Arabidopsis thaliana: one gene and its partner. The protein of the gene in region 1 interacts with the protein of each later gene in a pairwise test. Each region holds a gene or a part of one and is shown on either strand. Other genes may lie near its edges.

The links. Proteins that work in one complex are often made in the same cells at the same time.
Region 2: the proteins of SCO3 (region 1) and AT3G22440 interact in a two-hybrid assay, tested with the Arabidopsis thaliana proteins (one large-scale study listed by BioGRID).

Annotation. Positions count from the first base shown.
Region 1 is NC_003074.8:6,793,754-6,800,150, forward strand, and holds the start of SCO3 (SNOWY COTYLEDON protein (DUF566)), read left to right. Parts: upstream 1-3,717; 5' UTR 3,718-4,024; coding exon 4,025-5,473; intron 5,474-5,988; coding exon 5,989-6,108; intron 6,109-6,397. Other genes in the region: AT3G19560 (F-box family protein), read left to right, coding at 1-1,049; AT3G19565 (F-box/associated interaction domain protein), read left to right, coding at 2,269-2,408, 2,441-2,667, 3,146-3,153. UniProt on the Arabidopsis thaliana protein: Probable microtubule-associated peroxisomal protein required for chloroplast biogenesis and for the formation of the prolamellar body and prothylakoids in etioplasts.
Region 2 is NC_003074.8:7,956,232-7,962,628, forward strand, and holds AT3G22440 (FRIGIDA-like protein), read left to right. Parts: upstream 1-3,521; 5' UTR 3,522-3,622; coding exon 3,623-4,535; intron 4,536-4,869; coding exon 4,870-5,045; intron 5,046-5,145; coding exon 5,146-5,655; 3' UTR 5,656-6,140; downstream 6,141-6,397. Other genes in the region: AT3G22430 (RNA recognition motif XS domain protein), read left to right, coding at 1-213, 1,019-1,374; AT3G22436 (uncharacterized protein), read right to left, coding at 1,667-1,789; AT3G22450 (Ribosomal L18p/L5e family protein), read left to right, coding at 6,212-6,397.

The DNA of each region.
Region 1 (6,397 bases):
TGTTAGAGGAGATTCTCTCTAGGGTTCCAATAACATCTCTGAGAGCAGTGAAATCTACTTGCAAACGATGGAAGGATTTATTGAATGATCCGAGCTTTTCAAAGAAGTATGGTGGTAAACGAGACAACGAGTTTCTGGCGATCATGACGAGTGGTAGTAGGGCTTCTTTAATGAGCGTAAATCTCCATGGACCTCGTGACAATAAAGACTTGGAAGATCCTTTTATAAAGCAAATAGGTGAACTTAATCAAGACCAGATATTTAAAGTGTTTCATTGTGATGGTTTATTGTTATGCATCACCAATGAGGATAATACTAGGCTCGTGGTATGGAACCCGTATTTGGCACAAACCAGGTGCATCCAACCCATCGACAAATTCTACATATATGATTGGTATTGTTTGGGCTACGACAAGGACAAAAACCACAAAATTTTAGTGGTTTATTCCCCTATGTTTGGCCGCATTGAGTATGAAATCTACAGTTTTTTGTCTAAATCATGGATAGTTCTTAGTTTCCCTACCGATTGGCAGATATCGCGTGATGAATGTCTGTCTCTGAAAGGAAATACTTACTTTATTGCTTATAAAAAAATGGAAGTGGAAGAAGTAGGGTTTCAAGAATTTTTACTCTGTTTTGATTTTACAAATGAGAGATTTGGACCGCTTCTCCCTCTTCCATTCCAATGTTATAATCAAACTTCTCTAGTTCTATCTACTGTTCAAGAAGAGCAGCTTGCAGTGTTATGTAAGAGGTGTGATGCATATGAGACGAAGATATGGATTACAACAAAGATTGAGCCCAATGCAGTGTCGTGGAGCTACTTCTTAAAATTTGATTTCAAGGTTGATATATCTGGTGGCAGTTTCTTCGTTGACGTGGAAGAGAAAGTAGCAGTGCTTTTTTGTATAAACAGAGAAAAAGAAAAAGGCATCAACAACAAGACATACATGATTGGAGAGGATGGATACTACAAAGAAGTGGATCTCGGAGAATCTAACTGGTGTCCATCTATGTGCTCTTATGTTCCAAGTTGTGTGCAAGTCTGAGTAATGTCGAGTATTAAATCTACCAGAATGTTATTTGTTTCTTGCATTTTCTTTTCATTCATTTACTCTTTTTGGCTTTTCATTCTTATAAATTACTGATTTAATTAGTTGATGAGACAAAAACTTGATTCTCGAAATAATTGTTTCTTGTTGGCATTTATTGGTAGCCACATTGCTTAGAAGAGTCCTTCAAATTCCCAATAACCTTTTGTTACTTTCTTCTTAGTCAATTCTTTTAAAAAAGACAGACAATTCATATGATGGAGGTGTCCTAAGACAAAGAGAGGGTGTCACGTTACAAAAAAAAGGATCGCTTTTGCGGCGACTCATTTAATGATTTAAACTCAGTCGATATCTATTTTGTAGTCGCTGCCAACCAAGTGCCGAACAGGGTCATATGTCAAATAACATAGTCTCTTAGCTCTTACAAAAAGACTGCTGAAAACTATATTAGCCTCCTAAGTGAAACATAGCAAGTGTTGAATTAAATAAGAAAAACAAATGTTGTGCCTGCTCTGTCTTGGAACAGAGCAAAAAATGCTTCTCGTTTCAGTTCCAGAAAATTTCTTAGCTTAAAGAAAAAACTCAATCGAGAATCCCATTACTAATTTTAATTCAGTAGCAACAACAGCTTTTTTCATGATATTTATTAAAAAGTGGAACGTTTTATCTAAGGAACCAAGCTTTACAAAGAAGCATTGTGGTAAAGCATCTGGTGATCATGTTGAATGATTTTAGGGCTTGTTTAATGAGCGTCAACCTCCATGGAATCCATGACCACAAAGACTTGGTAGATCCATCTATAAAAGAGTATGTAATTCATTTGTTAACGAACGTCTTTCACTGCGATGGCTTGTTGCTATGCGTCACTAAGGACAGCACTAGCCTCGAGGTGGATCAAACCAAGAAGTAGTTACCACAGACTAGAAAGGTATGCTCTTGGATACGACAACAACCGTAACCACAAAATATCGAGGTATTTATTTATTACGATCACAATGTTGCGCAACGAGTTCTTAAGTACGAAATCTTCGATCTTAAGTGTAACATATGAACGGTTCTTGATGTCACTCCTGGTACTGGTATATACTAAACTATAGTTTTCGGGGCGTGTCCGTGAAGGGTAACAATTACTTTGTTGCTCAGGAAAGATTGGAAGGAGTGATGACAAATGTTTCACTTTGCTTTGATTTTTACAAACGAGAGTTTTGGACCGAACATGCATCTGCCGTTTGAATCTTATCCTGACGATGCTGTGACTCTATCTTCTGTTAGAGAAGAAAAGCGTGTAGTGTTATTTAAGAGGTCGAATGCATGTGAGATGGAGATATGGATTACAACTAAGATTGACCCAACGCGGTGTCGTGGAGCTACTTCTTGAAACTGGATAGGTCAGTGTTCAATGAAAGATTGAGGAATATAGATGTGAGCTTATTCGTGGACGAGAAGAAGAAAGTAGCATTGGTTTTCTGTAAAGACAGAGAAGATTGGACCAACTTCACAGCTTATATGATTGGAAAGGATGGATACTACAAAGAAGTGTATCTCGGAGAATCTACTACATCTTGGCCATTTGTGTACTCTTATATTCCAAGTAGGCCCGGTCTCTACAAGGATGGTTTTTTGTTTAGTTTCTTGCATCTCTTTTTTAATTCATATATTAACTCTTTGGATTTTCTTGTTTAGTAGTCAGTCATTTAGAACAAACATGCATTACATTTAGATTCTAAAGATTTGCCTTCATTTGGATCCGCCTTTATGATAAGCACTAACCTCAAATATTGCAAGGGTATAAAATTTTCTCTGTTTGAAGTTAAATGCCTCAAAGCACAAAAGACCTTGTGATGAATTGTCGATGACAGACAAAGAGACTTTCTTGATTAACTAGTCTTCTTTAGGATCCAAGAAGAATAACAGATTTTCTCCTGTCTGTTATTGTATATAGTTCGTGTGTAAGAATTGCTTATCTGATCACGGAAACAGTACCCTAGCTAGTTACGTTTATCTCTGTTGCAAACTTTTTAAATGTTTAGTGGTGAACTAATTTTGAAAAATTCAAATGAAAAGGGTTGTTTTTGTTGTGGGCTTTCATTTAGTGGCCTAATTCTAAGAAGATACCTTGAAATGGTCGGTGCTGGTTTCATTCTATTCCATTAATATGATGGTTCCTGCTACATGCACAACATTTTAGTAACCCACCATTCTTTTCTTCACATTCTGGAAAATAATGCAGAAACTGAGATTGGTGCTCTGGTCCTTAGCCATGGCAAATATAAGCTAATGTGAGTTTCTTCATCGACCAAAGAGTAGAAAATCGCTGTGGTCTTTCATAAGAACGAATATAAAAAAAACATGTTAACCTCCTCCAAATGCATCACAGCTTATAATTTTTGTTATCACTTAGTCACATTAATACATTATCATACTTTAAAAATTTTGGATAACAGCACATCGACAAGCTAGTTTAGTAGAAATCACAAAGCATAATTTCAACTCTGCAAAGTTCTGATTTTAAAATTCGTAAATTTTTTACAGTTTTAATACCGAGAGCTTATCATATAAAGTCATGGCTCATTATTAATGTCGTTATTTTCGGATTTCTCTTTAATTGGCTAAAAAGCAAATAAATTAGGTAATTTAAATTCAGCTTAATTAGCCAATGAAAACAGAGTTAATGCAAAAGTTCATCAAACCTCCGAAAAAGCGAAAATTAAAAAAGATGAGCTCATCAGAATACCCCAAATCCAGAAACCCCACCCTTTCTTCAATTCTCACATCTCTCTCTCTTCGCTCTGAAGCAAAGACAAATATGCAAAATCCTCTCTGAACAAAATTCACTTTGGATTTGCAGAATTTATTTGCTCTAAGTTAGAGTGAGGAGAAGCAACTGCCAAATCTCTGTAATGCACTGTGAAGATCTCGAAGAACAACAAGACGAAGAAGAAGACGAAGCAGCGAGACATTTCTCGTAGATAATGGTGGCTGCGATTCCTCAAGGAGCAGCAATTTCCAACACCGACTCTAAGAATCCTCCACCTCGAGATCGGCAAGACAAACCTCAGCTCACAGCTAACAATGGCGGACTACAACGAAGACCTAGAGCTGCTAAAAATGTCCCCTCACGCTACTTATCCCCTTCTCCTTCACATTCCACGACGACGACGACGACCACTGCTACATCTACTTCGACTTCGTCTTCTTCGTCTGTGATACTGAGGTCTAGTAAGCGATATCCTTCCCCTTTGCTCTCTCGCACGACGAATTCTGCTTCTAATTTGGTTTATACGCCTTCCTCGTTACCTAAACGGTCTCAATCGGTGGACCGTCGTCGTCCGTCGGCAGTTTCTGACACCCGAACGGAAATGTCGGCGGCGACGAAGATGCTTATCACTTCTACGAGGAGTTTATCTGTTTCCTTTCAAGGAGAGGCGTTTTCGTTTCCGATTAGTAAGAAGAAGGAGACTGCCACGCCGGTTTCTCACCGGAAATGTACTCCGGAGCGGCGGAGAGCGACACCTGTTCGAGATCAGCGGGAGAATTCAAAGCCGGTGGATCAGCAACTGTGGCCTGGTGCTTCTCGGAGGGGAAGTTCTGAATCTGTTGTGCCGAATTCGCTTTCTAGAAGCGTGGATTCTGACAGTGATGATGGGAGGAAGCTTGGATCTGGCTTTGTGGGAAGGTCAATGTTGCAGCATTCGCAGAGTTCTAGGGTTTCTGGTGATGGGAGATTGAATTTAGGTTTTGTAGGAGGTGATGGAATGTTGGAAATGAGAGATGAGAACAAGGCAAGACAAAGCACACATCCAAGATTGGCTTCTAGCGTTTCGTGTGACTTTACTGCATCTGATACTGATAGTGTTTCATCTGGTAGTACTAATGGTGCGCATGAATGTGGTTCTGGTGAGGTTTCTAAAACAAGGAGCTTGCCGCGTAATGGTATGGCTTCTACTAAATTCTGGCAAGAGACTAATAGCAGGTTAAGGCGGATGCAGGATCCTGGCTCACCTCAATGTTCTAGCCCAAGTTCGAGAATCAGTAGTATCTCATCAAAGTTCAGTCAATCGAAACGGTTCTCTAGTGATAGTCCGTTGACATCATCTCCTCGTGGTATGACTTCTCCAATAAGGGGTGCTACTCGCCCTGCTTCACCAAGTAAGCTTTGGGCAACAGCTACATCAGCTCCAGCTAGGACATCATCTAGTCCTTCTCGAGTGAGAAATGGAGTTTCTGAACAAATGAATGCTTATAACCGCACCTTGCCTTCAATTCTTTGTTTCTCTGCTGATATTAGGAGGGGTAAAATTGGGGAGGATCGTGTTATGGATGCCCACTTGTTGAGGCTTCTGTATAACCGTGATCTGCAGTGGCGGTTTGCCAATGCGAGGGCAGACTCCACTCTCATGGTACAAAGACTGAGTGCAGAGGTATCCTTTCTTTTAGATTACCGCATTAATGCTTAATAATTGAGTTTATGATTGTGTCATGTGTGTGCCTGCTGATTGTAATTGTCTTTAGTTAGCCACTGCAGCAGACTTAGGAAAATCATTATTGGTATTTTACTTTTAGCCACTGATGCAATGCAAATGCTTAAGCCTCTAAAGTACGCATTTCTTTCGTGATAATGCTAGAAACACGATTTGTATTTTACCAACAGGGAAGACTTATTAATACTTCTCTGGTAAGAGGAGATCTGATGCTAAGCCTCTTGGACCTAGAATAGTGTTTAATTTAGTTTCTACGTTTTGGATTGTGCTGCATGCTAACTTTTGCCTGATGCTGATGTGATGACATAGATGAAAATATGAATGGAGTAAGCATTAACACAGTTATGAAGTCTAGATATCGTTATGATAGGATACTCTTTTAGAAAGTTGAGTTATTGATTTTGTCCAATAAACTAGACACATTCTGGTGAACTCATTTTTTCTTTTCTTGACAGAAAATCCTGTGGAATGCATGGGTATCAATCTCGGAATTGCGCCATTCTGTCACTCTGAAACGGATCAAGTTGCTCTTGATGAGGCAGAAACTGAAACTAGCTTCCATCTTGAAGGAGCAGGTGAGAATATGAACTTCTAGCAACTTCATAATTTTAATTCTTTGAACAAGAAACTTTTTCATGTTTATATTCTTAGCTTAAATTTAGTGGCACCATTCAAGTTTTGAGACTAAACAAGTATCTTCAGGAATGTGGCTTAGTATTTCTAAAAAAACTTCTTGTTATAATGGAAAAGTAAATTGAATACAATTAAGTACTGCCAAATGATAACTGCACCGTTACGATCTTACAAGTGAATGTGGTACATTTTTCTTAGTTCTGCTTCTGTGGAAGTTATTATCTTGATTGC
Region 2 (6,397 bases), 1.2 Mb from region 1:
AAGCTCTCTGTGTATTGATGGGATGGAATTTCTCAAAGGCTCCTGATAATTCAAAGGCATACCAGAATCTACCTGCTGATGAGGCAGCAATCAACCAAGCCCAGCTAATTATTTGGCCACCTCATGTTATTGTTCAGAATACCAGTACAGGGAAGGGAAAAGAAGGGCGCATGGAAGGCTTTGGAAACAAAACAATGGATAACAGAATTAGAGGTATAACATGCGGCCTTTCACTCCTTATTCTTGCGTTTACATACCTGGGCAGAACCATCTGGAACAGTTCATGAATCTTGCATTGGTTAATCCGCACATTAGGATTCTCTTCTCTCTTTTCCTTTTTTCTTCCCTCCATATTAGAGATGTGCTTGGAAAGTACTAAAGCAGGTTATCTTAATCAATTGGATTTAGACCCAGAGCCTTAGAGATGATTCCCGTATACAATGGCCATAATGATGTCGCATGTCTTTGTTATCCCTGACTTTGTGCCACAATAATCATCTCCTTATCTTTTAGAAGAAAGGTCACGGTCCAAATCCCTCTCTTTGTTTTGCTATCACTAGAAGGATGGCCCAACAGGTGTTTTAAAGTAAGACTCTGGAAACTAACATGATTCAATTATCATCTGACATAGCTTCTCAGGAAAAACCTTCACTATACTTAGACCCCTGCCCGTTTCTCTCCCATGTTTCTCTGTGATTTTGTAAATTTAAAATTGCTATGACTTAGCATAGAATAATTTATAACTCTGGTTTGAGCTCTGATTTCAATACCTTACAATATCAGAATCTAGGCAACAGTGGTGGTCTAAGAAGTATATAAGCTTCTTTAACATAACTTTGTTGGGCCACCATCTTCTCTGGTCTTTTCTCTAGGAATCTCAGCTTCTATTTTTAGAACTTGTGGTTAGGCTAATGATGGGTGTGCAAGTACATGTATCTAGTTATTAGCCTATATCGTGTAACAACACTCAATGACACATTTTGTCTGCCTTCATTTTGATTTCTATATATAATTACAGAACTAGGACTCACTGGTGGGAAATCGAAGTCGTTGTATGGAAGAGAGGGTCATTTGGGAATTACCCTGTTCAAGTTTGCTGGAGACGATTCAGGGCTCAGGGATGCTATGAGAATGGCAGAATATTTTGAGAAGATAAACCGTGGGCGTAAGAGTTGGGGGAGGGTACAGCCACTCACTCCAAGCAAAGATGATGAGAAAAACCCTGGTCTTGTCGAGGTTGATGGGAGGACGGGAGAGAAAAAGAGGATCTTTTATGGTTATCTCGCGACTGTAACGGACTTGGACAAAGTCGATGTGGAGACAAAGAAGAAAACCACAATCGAGAGCCTTAGAGAACTCACAAGAACAAAGTAAATTACAGTTTTCTTCTCCCACGAAAGGTACACTTAACTTTCGAGGTATTTGTTGCCTATTGAATCTGGATTCTTAGTCGCAACCTAAAAAACTCGAAAGGAGGAACGAAAGTTTTTTTTTTTTTTTTTTTAATTTATAGATGAAGTCTTGGTCTCTTTGATCCTTCGATTCAGTGTTCATATTGCATAGTCTAATATCGGTTGAACCTGATATATACAAGTTCTCTTTACCAACATCCTTAGAAGTATATTGTGATAGTTGCTTGATGCTTTTGATGTCCCTGTTGATTCTCCTACGTTCGTTTCTTCTTTCCTTGTTCTATCTCATCCTTTCGAATAGTGGTTCCTGCTTGTTCTTTAGGCTTTAGCCAGCCTATGGAAATGAGAATATTGAACCAACCAAACAATGTTGCCATAGTGCCATTGTATTGATGATGTCTATGACATTGAGTTATTGTTTTTGTTTGCACTCTGGTAGTAGCTTTATGTATTTGGTCACCTTAGATTGGTGACAACAATGGTGGTGTTTAGTTTAAGCTAGCTATCTTCTTTGAATAAAAAAAAATAAAAAAAAAATTATAAATTGGTATGAAAACAAAAATAAACATTAGATAAGAGGACTTGTATTTTGTGGGGGCTTTTGGTAACCACTATATAAATTTTGTTTTGTCTTTGTTTATAACTCTTTAATTGACAAGTTAGGTATAAAGTGTTTTGACGATTTTTTCCCCTCTACTTTCTTGTGTTCTGATAAACTTTATTACATGTCTTCATTCAAATCTTTGGTTCGCTCTGGCTTACCAATTTACACGTTTTGTTAAAGGAAGTTTGATCAGCTTCGGTTTAGGCCGTGTGATTAAGAATTTAAGATAAACCTTAACACTTATGAAAGTAATCAAGCACTATCCGGTAGTGAAAGTTAATATAACATATAGGATTATAGTTTGGCCAATATCATAACAACTAGGATATAATTTTATGAATGTACAATATGCAGGACAAAGTACTTTGTATCTTTTGATAGAGTTACATGCACTATAAGAGAATTAAACATATTAGAAAAAAGACTAGATTATGTAAAATGTCATAATCATATTACTATAAGACTAGCTAGACTGAGGTCAAATCAATGCATAAATTTAAATCATTATCTCTTTTGAATTCGATTATCTCCCTCACATTTTTCAAATTTCTCTACTCACTTTTTCTATAAAGCGGAAACAGTAATCGGCGGTTCATATGTAGTCGGCCATTACGGACCCATTTAATTAGATAAATTATTCTTAGCCGTCAGTTTCATATTTCGTCTCATTCTAATTTTGTAATGTTTCTCTAACCTTTTTGTAACTATAAAATCATACTCTAATAGCAAGAGGTCTAAAAGAGTAATGGATATTTCCCCTCAATAATGTGTTATATGTCACTGTCCCGTTTTAACATTTTGTACATATCAACAGAAAAAAGTTTTTATGATATATCCATTCCACTGATGTCAAAAAAGCAATAGCTTTAATAAAACCAAATTCAAAATTTCGTTTTTATTCTATTCTTCTGTTTTGATATCACAAAGATATTAAAAACATAGTACGAAGATTAGTTTTATATGTGTACTAATGAATCTTCTTTGTGGTTGCTTCATTATCACGTTTTAACATTTGTCACGCGTGCCCTGATTTCATTACAGCCTTTTCTACAAAACACATGCATTGTTCTTCTTCTTACATTACTACATTACACTACACAAAGAATTTCATATTAATTATAACAACATTTTTTTTTTTTTGCTATACTATATAGTTTTTTGTTATTCAATTGGTATTTTACCGGCAATGCTTCACTGGTTTCCGACTCAACGCATGTGGTGGTCAGTGGGCTTGGCCCACTTATCTCTTTCACCTTTTTTTTTCTTTATACGAAAAATTAAAGCAAAGCTATAGTAATAGTACTTATTATTATTACCACGTCATCACCCAACTCTCTTATACTACGCATATCACGCTAAGCTACGCGTCGACGGCGCAATATAGAAGAATATGTAATAATCGCGCCTTTAATCAGACTCCACTGAGACGTGTCGCTATTTCGAGTTGTCCACGTCACTGTTTCTTTTGTCTCTTATCTTCTTCTTCGTCTCTTTACTTTTTTCCCATTTCTAGGGTTTCTTCAATTTCACTCTCTCTCTTGAGTTTATTCTTCTCTGCTGTATCAATCAAATCAACGGAGTTTGAGTTTCTTTTCCGATTCCGGCGATGGGGTCAGTCCCCGATCCAGGCGAGTTAACTGAGTTAGCTCAGCCGAGTTTCGAGGAGTTTCAGAAACAGACGTCGTTGATGACTAGCTGTACTCTTCTATGGCAAGAGCTCTCCGATCACTTCACTTCTCTAGAGCAGAATCTGATGAAGAAATCTGAAGCGTTGAAGCAGATGATTGAAACTCTAGATAACCAGACTCAGACCTCGCTCGAGTCTCTGAAGCGTAGAGAGGTAACAATCGACCATAGCGTTGAGATCGTAGCTGGGAAAGTAGGTGAACGAGCTAGAGCTGCTCTTGAATCGTTAGAGAAAGCTAGAGATGGTTGTGGTGATGGTTCTAATGATGATTCCGGTGATGTTGACGATGAAGAAGGTCTTCTTTCTGCTTTGAAATCTCTTTGTCTTAAAATGGATGCGAGAGGTTTTTGGAACTTTGTGACGGCGAGGAAGAAGGAGTTGGAGAATCTCCGGTCAAAGATTCCGGCGGCGTTGGTTGATTGTGTAGATCCGGCGATGTTAGTGCTTGAAGCGATATCTGAGGTTTTTCCGGTGGATACAAGAGGAGATAAAGTTAGCAATGATTATGGATGGGCTTGTGTTGTGATTCTTGAGAGTTTAACACCTGTAATTGTTGATCCAGTGATTGGGAAATCGAGGTTGCTTGTTACTCCGAGTGTTAAGGAGAAAGCTAAGGAGATTGCTGAGACGTGGAAGAAGAGTTTGGAAGAGAGAGGAAGGATAGAGAATGTGAAGACTCCTGATGTTCATACGTTTTTGCAGCATCTTGTTACATTTGGAATTGTTAAAAGTGAAGATCTTGCTTTGTATAGAAAGCTTGTTGTTGGATCTGCGTGGCGTAAACAGATGCCTAAGCTTGCGGTTTCTGTTGGTTTGGGTGATCAAATGCCTGGTAATCCTCTTAAGCTCTTATCTTCTACCTATTAGTTTTTTATCCTGGCATGCTCATTGTAACTTGTGAGATCATATATGGTTTTGAAATTGGCTAGTTTACTAATAGTTTAACCCATCTAGATGTATAGTTTTGGTAGGTTACAAATAGTTTACGAGTTGATTAGTCGAATATTAAGTTTGTGTGGCAAACATTGTATGGCATAGATTGTGGTGAAGTCTGAGACATTAGTGGTACAAGGTGTTATTGACCACAGACTGTGTGAAGTTGAAGCCTTTTTCTCTGTATCTCGTTTTATAATATCTGAACTTACAAGTTGTTGCGCTGTCCACAGACATGATTGAAGAATTAATCAGCAGGGGACAACAGCTTGATGCTGTTCATTTTACTTATGAAGTTGGGCTTGTGGATAAGTTCCCTCCTGTTCCTTTGCTCAAAGCTTATCTAAGGGACGCAAAGAAGTCAGCAGCTTCTATCATGGAGGACTCTAGCAATACTGGCCGAGCTACGGTATCTACTCATTGCATCTACTCATTTCTATCGCAGCTAAATATTTTTATCTGTGCGTCCCTGAAAGTTAATATCTTCCTTGTTATGTTTTCTTCCTAAGCATCTCGTGGCGCGCAAGGAGCAATCAGCACTTAAGGCGGTTTTAAAATGCATAGAAGAGTACAAACTCGAGGAAGAGTTCCCTCCAGAGAACCTCAAGAAACGGTTGGATCAGCTAGAGAAGACCAAAACCGAGAAGAGAAAGCCAGCAGCTGTTCCTGCCAACAAAAGAACCCGAGCCAGCTACAACGGTCCAATGCCACCAGCCAAAGCCGGGCGTATCACAAACGCATACGTCTCTTCCTTCCCGTTCATCAGATCACCCTCTCACTCTCCTCAATACGCTTCACCAGCAGCTTACCCATCCCCACCTACAACAGTCTACAGCAACAGAAGCCCACCTTATCCATACTCTCCGGAGATCATCCCAGGCTCATACCAAGGCTCTCCTATCGGTTACCCAGCGTACAACGGTTATTGTAATGGTCCAGTTCCTGCTCCAGCTCCTCCAGTTTACCACCCACACCATCATCAACACCACCAATTCCACCATCAGCAACATTACTACTGAATTAGAAGACAGTGTGACAACAAAACAAGGAAGAAGATTGGTAATAACCAACAAATCACTGATACTGTGACAACTGCTACTACTCTGGTGTTCTCTCTCTCTGGGTCTATTGTCTTCCTACGTCGTCGTTTTTGTCTGTAATATCTCTTTCTCAGCCTAACTCTCTTAGTAACTTAGCTTATATCCTCTGGTGTGTTTATTATTAATCGCATATAAAACAAAACTCAAGCTTTTGTAATGTCTAATATTCAGTCAACAAACTTATATTTCTGTACTCTGTTAATCGAATGACAAACTTCTCTTCGTCACCAACTATCTCCGATCAAATCTAACATCGGAGGTCGTTGCTTTGAAGACATACCCACCAGTTCTCTGTTGAATTGCATTTCTTCTTCATTGAGCAAAGTGGTGATTCAATTTCGGTACAAGACACAAAGCCAGTGGTGAGAAATTTCTCTTTACCAACCTTGCACACCAGATGTTCGACGATATGTCTCTTTGAAATCTTACCGTTTAGTTTTCACGTGCGTTTTCAGAATTGGTCTCTTTTCCTTCAATGGCTTTGATGGTTTTGAGAAGAAAGTGTCTCCGTTTGCCAGATTTTATCTCCGTTTTTCGACCTGCACCGCGTTGCTTCTCCTCGAGATTTTCCAACAGTGAAAGTGGTAAAGTTACAGTGACTGGTTTGAGTGGTTGTGGTATAGAAACTGTGGATGATGATGTTTGGCATGTTTCATCATCT